Caenorhabditis elegans: one gene and its partner. The protein of the gene in region 1 interacts with the protein of each later gene in a pairwise test. Each region holds a gene or a part of one and is shown in the gene's direction. Other genes may lie near its edges. The genes, in order: ztf-9 and Y116A8C.20.

Region 1 (6,972 bases):
TCTGTTCATCAATATAATTAAGAATTGGAATCAAAAATTACTTGGAAAAAATATATTTAGTGTTTGAAATTTCACGATGACTATGTAGTAATGAAAATGAGAAACTTGTTAATTTTTCAGATACAATGGAAAATAATAGTAAGAAAAAATATTGCAACTGTGAATTAGATACATTCAACATATTTTTTAATCAAATTTATTACGAATTTGCGAACTAGAAATTCTCACGTTTCAAAAATTTTCAATAGAGTAATCTCAAAGAGTCATGCGCCTTTAAAACCAAGTAATACAAGCAAACTCATTTCTCTGAATGTTTTGCCATTTTGATTTGATTTTTTTAAATGTTGTAATTTCTTGATATCCAATATTTCAATTCAAATATTCAACTGCAAGGTTTTCATTTCTAGAAATATCTATTCAAATTATGTCTCCATCAGTACCTGAAAGTTCAAATCCGATGCCAATCGTAATTTCAATACACTGTTTAACGTTTCAAACTGAACCGAGACATCTACCGTAATCCGTAAACCATTGCAACGGGATGAAAGAGAAATTTTTCAAACCCAGGGTGCAACGGCAGCAGTAGAAAGAGAAGAGAAGATGATTGAAAATTTATGGCAGAGCGACGTCAAGAAAAATTGCGTTTTATTAGTTAACAAAGAGCAACAGACAACAACAAAAAACTGACAAGATTTCTTACAATAACTGAACTAATAAAATTTGAGATCCTAAAATACGACATCTCCCGATGTTCGTGATGTTGAAGACGATGAGTCTTCTGAAGGTTTTTCAGATCTATTCATAAAATCTTTATAAGCATGACGAAGACCAAGTAGATCGAGCATTGCTATGAAATGAGCTAAAAATATAGGAAGCTTCAGATTTTGCAAATCAAAAAAGTTTATACCCGGTGGTTTCGCAGCTGCAACGAGACCATGTGCTTCATGACCACCGACGTCTTCGAAAATTGTGTTGTACACGTGGCAATAAATTGGAAGTGAAGTGAGTAGACTTCGATTTGAAGTTTCGAGCGTCGAACAAAGATGAGGTGGGATGAACTGGAATAATAGTCATTTTAGAAAAACATGGCAACTTTCCAGTTTTGTCAAACTTATTTTGCAAATATATGGGGAGTAAAACAGTACAATACAGATTGATTTTGATAGTATTTAAGATATACATTTTTTTAAGATTTAAAAGTTCAATTCTTATTGTAAGATTGAATAAGATTCAAGTTTTTTTCTTTACAAAATAACTTTGGTGACTTACAATTCTATGCCCCATGTTTCCCGCGCTGATAAGTTCAGGAACTCCATCCACGTCGGCCAAACGTCTCCAGTAGATAGTGTCTCCGAGGATCGGACAAGACATCTGAGTTAGCATCAGTCGTGGGAGATGACGAGCAACTGAAGAAATATAATATTCAATACAAAAATAATATGTATTCAAACATTTGTTATCTAAAAACCCAGCGTCGTCGTACTTTTTAATTTGAAATTAAATATACCAAGATGATTTTTTTCGGAAGATTTTTGGTTAATTTACATTTATTTACTGAAAAGTCGATCAATGAAATTCCATTTTTTGTGTCCAGTACTCGATAGCTCATATGTCCTTCTACAGCGTATTTTCCAGTTTTTGCCCGTTTCGTTGTTTTTCTTTCTTCGAAAATGTACTCTTTGTGCTTTCCGACATTCCGAAACGTGGCAAATCCAGTTATGACTCCACTGCTCTTTTCAGGTCTTCCAATTGTGATTGCTCTGAACTTTAAAATAATAAATACTAAAATTAAACTTTAGAAATTGATAAAACTTACAAGGCATTATACATAAAAGGGGGTTCGACATTTGAAGAAGTGCTTCTGATACATTCTTTCAGAATATTGGAATCCTTTTCATTACATGGAAGAACAATTGCACCAGATAAGTATCGTTTTAAGCCTGTACAGAAACTGAGCTGAGGCTCACGGAGCAACTTTCTCAAATCTTTGATACAATCGGAAATTGTTACTCCCATTTGTTCTTGAGTCCTTGCTTTGATTGTACCAGCCCATTTTTCAGTTTTTCTCTCATCTCGAACACTATTCCCAAATACTCCACCATTTTCTTGAAGTTGTCCAACACATGACAATCCATATGGCTTTTCCAACACTACAAATCGACCTGGAGCGTGAGCCAAAACCTTTTTCGATAGGTATCGAGCCAGCTGATTGGGATTTGAAAACGTGGCAGGAGTCAGAGCTTTCTGAACTTTTGGATTTAGTGGAGCCGGTGCAGACTCCAAAGAAGTTGAAGACGCTGTATTACTTGTGAATCGACATGTCGATATTCGTCGCAGTGTGTTCATTTTTCTCTGAAAAATCTTGATTATTTTTTAATTATCAAAATAAAATATAAACCGAGTCTGTAAAATTATAAGACGAAAGGTTTCAGATAAGCTTTAGAATTTTTTACCAAATTAATTATCAGAAAGCGAGAAATTCTTGCTAGGAAAAAATGGTATCTTAATTTTACAAGATTTTGGCATACTTTCTTAAAGGCGCATGGATTGATTTGGACTGGTCTCGATGCGCAAAAAAGTTTATGGTAGCTTCGGCTGCTTTATCGTTTATTTCCCTTACATTTTCCAATGGAAGTACTCTGTTTAAAGCGAATTTCGTGTTTAAAAAAAATGCATATTCCTTAAGAATTGGTTTTAAATAAGTTTTCTAAACAAAAATTTCAACAAAAAAGAGACTGCCATGCATGGTCATGGTATTTGTACCATCAACTTTTTATCTCAAAATTAATTATTTTTCACAAAAATCTGACTCATATCTGTTCTCTCACGTTTTCATTTTTCCAACAGTTTTTCCCACTTTTCTTCCGCCCATCCCGCTCCTTTTTCTTTTTTTCCTATCGCCACAAAAACACACACACACACACAGCAGAGAGAAAGAGATAGGAAGAAGACGAGTCGTCGCATTTTTGTCCTCTCTCTTTCCCTTTCTCTCTCCGTTTCAATGTAGCGCGAACCGAGCGATGAGAAGAAGAAAAAAGAAGAAAGAGGAGAAGAAAGGAAGGAGAAAGGAGGAAGAGACTGGCCATTGCCCGCCCGGCCTTCTTCTCCTCCTCACACACACAAAACCACCCCCTTCTCTCCATTTTCCTTCCTTCTTCTTCTCACCATTCTTTTCCTTTTTCCACGCGTCTTCAGTTGATTTCGAACACATTTTGTTAACCGTTCGCTTCTAAATCTATATTACTAAATTTGCAGAATATATTTATTACATTCAAAAAATGAACCGACTACTGGGATGTCTAGATTGCGTTCAAACTGAGGCCTACAACACACTGGAAGATCTCGAAGCACACATTGCTAGTGATCATCTTAACATATGCCCATATGAGTAAGTCTTTAACTTTTAATATGTGGTGAACGTAGCTTTACTATTTTAGATGCGAAAAATGTAAGTACGCTAAGTTTCCAACGGAATTCGCCCTTGTCAGTCACTGTATGAATGATCATGGACTCACCGAATTTTCTGTAAGTCTCCAATGTTGAGAGACGCAGAAAAAAAATTCAACAATAATTTAAATTGCAGATAAAATATCGCTACACACCGGAGTTGAGTATGAAAAAGAAGGAACTGACCCAAAAGCTCGAACGGTGCATTGCAATGAGTCGATCTATGCGGATTGAAGGGAAAATCAGCGATGCGGTGTCAAGCACAGTGGAGAACAGAGTCAAAGTCGAAAACTCAGAAGCAACTGGCACACCTATTCAGTCATCTTCTCCTGTTGTCTTCGTAGATAATGCTTATCATGCCTTTCTAGGTAAACTTACACATAATAATGATTCCCACTCATTTGGATTTAATTCAGACGAAACTCTGGCACGTCACGAAGAAGAACGTGGAGCCGGTCCTTCATTCGAGGGAGCATCTGATGGCGGTGGTCCGATCAAGCCGAAGCAACAAATTCAATGTTCTCTTTGTGGAGACGTTGTTTCCAAACAAAGATCAAGCATGGTGTATCATGCAAATACGCGTCACGGAAAATATGAGCTCTACGAGTGCGGAATCTGTCACAGAAAATGGCAGACAATTGCAAAATCTGATGTGATCAAGCACATAAAAAGCCATCACGAGAGACCCGACGGAACCATCGACTGCGACATGGTTATTGACTATCGAAAAAATCTAGGAAACAAGCTGAAAGAAATTACTGAAAAATGTTTTCCGGAGCGAAAGAAAAAGAGAATTGGATACACGGATTTGCCAGAATAAATATCTTGAAACGATTTAAAAGTTGTTTTCTCATCGTCCCAATTGTTAGAATTACTGTTAAAATACTAACTGATACGGTTTATTTTTGTTAAATACAATTTTTCTTTTTAACCTGTTCTTCTTTGTTCGTTTCGGCAAGAAATAAGACGCGACGAGTAAATTTTAAAAAGAAAGCGAAAGCGTGAAGACAGAAAATAGGTGAGTACGGTGTACGCAAATGCGCGTAGCGTCTGGTGTGTGCAGACAAGCGTTTTTGATGATTCTTTCGAAAGAATTTCGGCAGTGTTGCTCAGTCTGATTTCATTTTATTTATTTTACAACAGCGTATCTCCTTTTTCAATACATATTAGCAATAATGTCAAGTCCTTCATGTTTCCTCATTTTCTATCGGCGGCTTTGTACAACAATGTTGTATTAGGTTCGTGAATCACTTGTTCTAGGGTACAATTTTTCATAAAATCTGATACAACAATTTTATCAATCATATCCTCTATTTAGTTTAGGCTTATAGTATTATAGTATGCATAAACATGTTCAATATTAAGTATTTCATTATATCATCAATGCTACTTTTGCGCTCTTATTTTGAAATGATTACTGTTATTCTCATTTGTATTTTTTCCAGAAATGGCCCAAGCAAGCGACAGCACAGCTATGGAGGTCGAGGAGGCCACAAATCAGACAGTTAAGAAGCGTTTCGAGGTAACACAGATACAATGTTACATGCTTTAACAAACATAGTGCAATTTAAGGTCAAGAAATGGAGTGCCGTCGCACTTTGGGCCTGGGACATTCAGGTCGACAACTGCGCTATTTGCCGCAATCACATCATGGATCTGTGCATCGAGTGCCAAGCGAATCAAGCAGCCGGGCTCAAGGATGAGTGTACCGTTGCATGGGGAAACTGTAATCACGCTTTCCACTTCCATTGCATTTCTCGTTGGCTGAAGACACGACAGGTAGGTTGCTTTTAAACGTGCTTATTTTTGAAAAAATGATATTTATTCAAATGTCAAAGCGGAACAGAAGCCTGCCGCATGCATTTTTGTTAAACAACTTTTGAAAATTTAATTTTTTTCAATTACTAAGTACTCGTAACTAGCATTTCAAAAAGCTTACACATTTTCTAATTCTATCTTTTCAGGTATGCCCATTGGACAATCGTGAGTGGGAATTCCAAAAGTACGGACACTAATCGATCTTCATTCTTCTGCCAACCGCCCGGGCAGTTTCTTCACACTTTTTTACTTGTATTCACTGATTTTTCTTCTATTTCCTTTTGTGAATATGTATTCGTCCCAAAAAAAAGCACATTAAAATCCAGACGTGTTAGTCTCTATGTGATCTGACACTTTTCATTTGTTTATTCAAATCTCCAATCCCTTCTGACCTTCTAAAATCATCCTTCCTCGCTTGAATATTTAATTTTTCTCCGCTAAAAATATAAATATGAACTGTGTCCTCTGGTCTCATAATTCTCAACGAGACAATTCTCGTGCCGTTTATGTGCTTAGGCTGTTTAGGTTCAGGTTGCGGGCACCGTTCAAGCCGCCGGAGCAAAAGGAGGAGGTCTCGTCTCGCGTAATTTATTTGCAATTCGGCTAAAACGTTCAAAACCGAATTGCAGCACATTTCTCGCCGCTTCTTCGTATTCCTTTCCGTAATAATTGATTATTACGATTGCTTGTTCGTTTCTGTGCCAAAGTTTTTTTTAAATTTTGGATACTGATTTTTGTAGAGTTCTCTCATTAATATAGACCAAGATAATTTTCTGCTTTTAAAACTGTCTACAAACGTTTATTGTTCAATAATCGACGTTGCTAAATTGCGGATATTCTTAACTTCATGAAAAGTGAAGTATCACTTTAAAGGCGCACACTACTTCTCTTGGCTGGGTCCTGCCACGATTTCAGATACAGTAGTTCCTCCGAATGCCAAATTGCACAAAATTGTTCATACATATTTAGAAGTGTTGAAGTTCACAAAGTAGGGCAAAACTCAATGAAAATTATACACATCGGTTTATTTTTTTTAATATAACTGCCACTCGAAAATTTAATTCCCAATACTTCTAGACTGTTTTTTTTTCATTCTGAAGTAACTTAAAACGTTTCTTTAAAAACGAGGTATATTCAGGCCGCTATTGGGCTTTGGGCTTACTTAAACTATATAGTTTATAATCACCTGATATCTCACCGCGATCACACCGTAACCTACCGTACTCTCCAACTTAGCTACATATTTATATATTTTCTGTTATCATCGAAGTGATCAGATCAAACACCAATAGGTCAAAATTTACACCACGGGGATCAGTTACTGTCTGCGAGAAGATTTAATTGGTTTTGCGAGTTGTAACTCGAGATTCTCATGTCGGAACAAGCAAACCGACTCCCCTACCCAATACAGTGTATGTTTGTTGAACGTGTTCCTCGATCCACTCCCCGATTTGGAAATCCCATTTTTTATATCCGAACCGTCCGAATCTGTATTGTAGTGTGGGAATGTAAGACACAAGGCAGCAGTAGAAAACAAGAGTTTGAGAGAAAAAAGAATAGGTGGAGCTGCAGGTAGACCCGATTTTTATTGAACAACTTTTTGATGGAATCCGCTGAATTTCAATTGAAGCCACTTATCCATTCGTTTTTGTTGCAAAATCTCAGTTTCTTTTTTATTTTCTTTCATTTCCAGGAAGCCAAATTCGA
Region 2 (6,349 bases), on another chromosome or scaffold:
TCATGTTGCTGGTCATCTTTTTTCCAGATGTAACTTTGTATATAACTTTCGTGTACATAAGCAAAGTAAAATGCTTAAAAAACAAACTATGAGAGATCTCTAAAGAATTCTTATTTTTAACTTGATAGTGTCCTATAAATGCAATAAAAGTTAACAAACCTGAATAATCGGTACGTTCGAACCTAATTATTTTAAAAACTTTTTCTGATCTACACCGTTGCTTATCAGAAATTTAAGTGGGATTTGCTTGTAGTTTCCAAAATACTTTTGCAGATGATAGTTATATTCCAAATTACAGCTGAAATAAAGATTGAATGCAGATCAAAATAACCAATAAAATTAAAAAGTAAATACATAGACCCCATGAAACAGAAAAAAATGTGGCTATATTTGCAGCTTTCTAATAGAAATTTTATACGCTCAAAAAGCAGAAATGAGCTAAAAGAATTTCAACAAGATGTGTTAACCTGGGGGTGCGGCAAATTTGCCGAATTTGCCGAGCTCGGCAAAAATTCAGTATTGAGTTATTTTAATATTTAAGCAGACACACTACACGGAACTGATTCAGAAAACAGATGTGTGTTAAAAATTTAGTAGTTTCGGTGCTCCAAAAAACATAAACTGATCGATTGTAATTTGTAAAGCACCATACTTTTCAGCAACATGCAAAGTTTGAGGTATCTTATAGCGTTAGGGATTCGTATTTATTTGAAAAAGTATTGATGAATTATCCACAAGTTTTATTGTTTCCTTTTGAAAAGCTCAATTTTTGCCGAGCACGGCAAATTTCAAAAAAGGAGATTTGCCGAATTGGCCGAGCTCGGCAAATTCGAAAAATTTTCAAATTTTCAACAAAAATATATAGTTCATCCTAATTTCCACATCCTTTCTGTATTTTTAGGGGAACAGTGTATAAGTTTTTTCTCTGTTTCAGGTGTTCAATTTATTTGGTCTTCAGTATGAATGTTTGATATTCAATTCAGTTGGTTTAAGATTTGGACACGATTTTAAAATGCAAGTAGTTGTGGCGGAAAAATAGTGACCAAAAAGCCGTCTTCACAATTGAAACTTTTTCTTGGTCAATGAAATTTTACTTCTACGACGTGCTATCGAACTTGAACCAAAACATTTGTAAACTTTGAAAATTAAATTAAACGCCTGAAACAGAAAAATTTTATGCTCCACCCGTTTTTTTCAAAACTCGTAAGTTCTGAAACTTGACTGACGCAGTGACAGGATGAATTTTGAAAATTATGAGAAGTATTGAAAAATGATAAGTTGAATTTTATTAGTCTGAAAAATAATAAAACAAAAAAAGCCAAATCCAAAAATATGGACATCAGAAAAAAAATATATAAAAAGAGTATAAGATCAAACGGAGAAGAAATTGAAAATTATAAAATCCTCAATTTGAAATATATAAGGAAGTAGTAATTGGTGTTGAATTGTTGGTACAATCAACAGGAAAACTAGTGAAGAAGAGCTGAGCAATGCCAATTGGGCAAGAAACTTGTATAGTCCAGAGCAAATGCACGAGACAGGTCTGATTCAACATTAAGCTTGAAATCCGCCATTTCCGCTGATTCGGTTGTAGAAGTTGAGCCAAGAGCTCTGTGGATGAACTGACACCTGGCTCCGTACTTGCAATACCCGGTTGTCGAGAATTTATCGCAAAGAACTGTTTTATAGTTACGATGAGTTTTCTTTGCCTGTGTGAACCTGAGCTCATGCACACTGTGAGCAAACTTACATTGCTCTCCATAAATACATTTCTGACCTCTTCTTTGAAAACCACACAGAGCTGTCTTGAATGCTTCTTCCTTCTTTTTCAGTCTTTTCATTTCGTCGTGGAGATCGTCAGAAATTGTGCATGAGTCGTATTTTCGTGATTTGTGCTGTTTCATGAGTGGAGAAAACTGATCTCCGTCATAAGATCCTGGAGAAGATGACAGTGAAAGCGATTGAGGAGCAATATTAATAGGAACAGTTCCGTCTGGGAAAGCACATTTCAGAAGGAAACTGGAGAGGGATGTTGTTTGGTTGCTAGATTCCGGAGACATTGTATAAGCAGTTGAGTAGTTGCTGAAAAAATTTATTTGGAAGAAAGAAAACGATAGAAAGATAAAATAATAATAAGAAACAGTAAAAAGAGTGAGAGTCAGAAAATTATTGTGCTAATACAAAAGTTGACTGCAACAAGCAGGTATTATATTCATCATAGTGATCATACCATGTTGCATTATTGAATTGAAAACAGTTTGAAATTTCAGAGAAACCACTTTTTGGAGAATTTAAGCTGATTTAGAAAAGCAGGTCTAAGAAAGTAAGAAAAATGTAACCATTCACGATGAAAGTAAATGAATTGAATGACACAATTGACAGACTGTATTCAGGAAACGGAAGGAACGCTGGAACAGTATCTAATCGATAACATGTATATTTGTTGCAAGCCCCGCCCACTTGCAGGCCACACGCTGTAAAAAGAAGGCGATATGTACAGGGAGGTTTTAGGAATTGGGATGGATGGGATAGTTTTTTGTAATGTAGTTTTTTTTTTGTTGAAAATGAACTTTTGGATACTTGATCCAAAACTCTTTCAAAATAATGTGGAACCCTAAGGGTATGTATGTAATACCTCTTACTCACCTTACCTCTAGCAGAAATATATTGTGAGAAATATTCTACAATTTTTGGAAAATTGTTAATCTTGTTGAAATTTCAATTTGATTATAATTATCTCTATCTAAGTTTTGTGGTTTCTCATTGAGCTAATAAGCGGCTGAAGAGAAGTTTGCAAACAAAGTCAAGTCCCTATTATTTCCTGTTTCATGGAATCTATTTTATAAAACCAAAAGAGCTACTGTGGTCTTAGTACTGTGCTTTGTGGTTTAATTTTTCCACATAAGATTTGACTGAAAATATTTCAAACTAAATCTTTTGAAAGTTAGTAAAGCGGTTATTAATAGTGGTGTCTTGCCAAGTTGCTAAGGAAAAATCGAGCCTGTAAATGGGCGGAGCTTCCCGATCAATAATTGACTCACTACGCTATCGATTGGATCAATTTTCAGCGTTCATGCAGTTGCCTGATGACAGGATGACAATTGTGTCATTCATGCAAACAACTGTCATCCTGAGAAGTTGTTCTTTAGCTTTGCTCTTTTTAGGGATTTTTTTTGTAAAACTTTAGCATATTGTGGATATTTTTTTGTGTTGCTTTTTTACTTTATTTTTGCCTTCAAGTCTTTTTGTCGTTAAAATATAATTTGCGTAATTAATAGTTTTTCCATTCTTTCATTATTCCCATTTTTCAGAAATTATATAAGTTCTTCACAATGTTTGTTCAAACAACCAATCAATCGAATACCCTCTCCAACTTCATTCTGACGTGTGCATTCCCTGCTGGAGCTCCTGTAACCAATTACCCTCCATCCCTTTCACATACATCATCTCCAGGATCTTCCGTATACGAAGCTTCTACGAAAACGGAAGCAGTGCACAAATTGGAGTCATATCAATTACAGGCCAGCAGAGATCCGTGCACAATTCCCGACGAGCTTCGTGAAGAAATGAAGAGAATGAAAAGACAGGAAGGAGCATTCAAGACAGCTCTATGTCTTTCTCACAAACGTGGTAAAACATGCATTTACGGAGAACAATGTAAATTTGCTCACGGTGTTCATGAGCTCAGGTGTCAACAGGCAAAGAAAAACCATCGCAACTACAAAACAGTACTTTGCGATAAATTCACGACAACTGGATATTGCAAGTACGGAATCAGGTGTCAGTTCATCCACAGATCCATGGACGCAACTAATGTAACCAGACCAATAGACACAGCGGATTTCAAGCTTGACGTTCAATCGGACCTCTCTCGTGCATTTGCTCTGGATTCTTCAAGCTTCTTGCCAAATTGGCATTGTTCAGCTCTTCTTAACTAGTTTTCCTGTCGATTGTATCAAAATTTCAAAACCAATTACTATTTCCTTATAGATTTCTAATTGAGGATTTTATATTATTCAATTTCTTCACCATTTTATTTTATACTCTTTTTATATATTCTTTCCTGATGTTCATATTTTTGGATTTGGTTTTTTTTTGGTATATTTATTTTCAGACTAATAAAATGCAATTTTAAATTCTTCAATACTTCTCATAATTTTCAAAATTCTTCCTGTCACTGCGTCAGTCAAGTAACTTACGAGTTTTGAAAAAAAAGTCAGGTTGAACATAAAATTTTTCTGTTTCAGGCGTTTAATTTATTTTTCAAAGTTTACAAATGTTTTGGTTCAAGTTCGATAGCACGTTGTAGAAGTAAAATTTCATTGATCAAGAAAAACTTTCAATTGTGAAGACGGCTTTTTGGCCACTATTTTTCCGCCACAACTACTTGCATTTCAAAAACGTGCTCAAATCTTAAACCTACAGAATTGCATACCAAACATTCATACTGAAGACCAAATAAATTGAACACAACTATTCAGCACTACTCGGCAAATCTCTTGTCCTGGAGCGCGGACGGGGCGCGACTAGATCACGGGTTCGCGCTCCAGTCACCCTTTTTTTCGCGCTCCTTACGCGCCACGTGCGCGCTCCAATCGCGTTTGCTCCGCGCGCATTCCGAATTTGAAAAATTCTTACGAAATTTTATGGGACGCGGTCAGAGCGCCAACGAGGCGCGGAAGGAGCGCGAAAAAACGTGTGACTGGAGCGCGAACTCGTAATCTAGTCGCGCCCCGTCCGCGCTCCAGGAGGAGCGATTTGCGGAGTAGTTCTATTTCTAATCTCTTTTTTTCTCAACCTTATGAACTATTAATATAATTCGTATAATACCTATTTTCATATTTCTTGTAATCTTATCTTGATAATGTTTTCAATTGTTTGATTTCTAATGTGTGGTTTAATAAAATTATTTTTTTCTTAACAATGACATTATCAATCACATTAGTCAGTAAAAATAATTAGTTATTGGAAATTGGTCTTATTGCTGAAATGGTTCTAGATTTCATGCAAATACATTTTTTAAAAAGTTTCTTATAGCGTGGATTAAAGTTTTAGCTACTGTCATGACACAAGTCGTCAGCAATTTTTGTATTGAATGAAAAGTGAAATATTAATTTCAGATTTTAAAATCTGAAGTTAATGTTTTGCTTTTCAAAAGTATTTTAAATATTAACATTCAGACTCAGTTAATGTTTTTAAACTTTTTTATTTGTTCAAATGACTCATTTGAAACAGTAATTAATAGCATGAAAGTTTCCGTCAAAGAACTCATGAAAACAGTAGCTTTTGCTTTTATCGCAAAAATTTGTAATTACACAAAAATGCAAGTTTTACGAGAGTGCTTTACGCAATTCTAATATTTCGAATTCTCTGAGTTATATTAAACTAGAAATAAAAAATATATCAATGATGTAAATTAGAAAAATTCCGTTTCAGGAAGACATATAACTTTTTGTCATTCAGTTACATTTTCTTTTCATTTTTTTTCAATTCTTCCTTTTTTCACTGATATTTTTTTCTAGAATTTTTTCAATTCAATAGATTTTCCAATTTTTACACAGCCGAAAATATATGAAAGTCTGAAATGTATCTCACAACAGCAACCGTTACTACATACTGCATACAAAGTTTATATGGAAATAATAACTCCTACTAGAAACTGCAAATTTTGTTTTAGTTTTTTGATAATTTCTGAATTATTTTTTAAACACTACAAGTTGTTTAACCGAATAGGAAAAAACTGTACTGCATGAAAAATTTCTATAGAATATATAAATCCTTTTAGAAACAGCAATTTTTGATATTGTTCAAATTTCCACAGATACTTCACGGAACCTTTTCTGTGACCATAGTGAAATTATTTAATAATAATTTCGAAAATTGTTTTTTTTTTTCAATACCTACTAAATGAAGTGCTATATTAAACCGGCTGAAAATATAATAAAACAAAATTTGAAACTATATTTTTCGAAATATTTCTGAAATATCGACTTTTTCCCATAGCGCTCATATTGCTTCAGAAAACGCTCAAATATCGATCGGATACTTTTCCAACATTCTAAAAGTTTTTTGAAAGTAGTATAATTATTGTGTCATTCATTTATGCACCTTGTTATCGGTCTCGATTTTTTTCAGGTTTAGTATAATTTAAAAACAATTTTCCACTTCTTATTTTGCCCAAAATTAATAAAAACGAAAACGAAAAAAAAAAACCAACTAATACAATTGTATCTAATATGAATTATCAACTATGAAAAACCGTAAGTGTTTTTTTAAATGTTTTATTCAATTTCTATTCAGAGTAATAATTATGTAACAGTATAACAAATATTTTCCAATCAATTGGCTT

What was found.
Region 2: the proteins of ztf-9 (region 1) and Y116A8C.20 interact in a two-hybrid assay, tested with the Caenorhabditis elegans proteins (one large-scale study listed by BioGRID).

The regions. Positions count from the first base shown.
Region 1 is NC_003283.11:9,688,443-9,695,414, reverse strand, and holds ztf-9 (C2H2-type domain-containing protein), read left to right. Parts: upstream 1-3,255; 5' UTR 3,256-3,278; coding exon 3,279-3,388; intron 3,389-3,437; coding exon 3,438-3,525; intron 3,526-3,583; coding exon 3,584-3,815; intron 3,816-3,863; coding exon 3,864-4,267; 3' UTR 4,268-4,376; downstream 4,377-6,972. Other genes in the region: ZK287.7 (RNA_ligase domain-containing protein), read right to left, coding at 729-859, 908-1,058, 1,270-1,406, 1,546-1,760, 1,817-2,346; rbx-1 (RING-box protein 1), read left to right, coding at 4,895-4,969, 5,020-5,226, 5,412-5,462.
Region 2 is NC_003282.8:17,037,586-17,043,934, forward strand, and holds Y116A8C.20 (C3H1-type domain-containing protein), read left to right. Parts: upstream 1-3,332; coding exon 3,333-3,938; downstream 3,939-6,349. Other genes in the region: Y116A8C.19 (C3H1-type domain-containing protein), read right to left, coding at 1,470-2,060.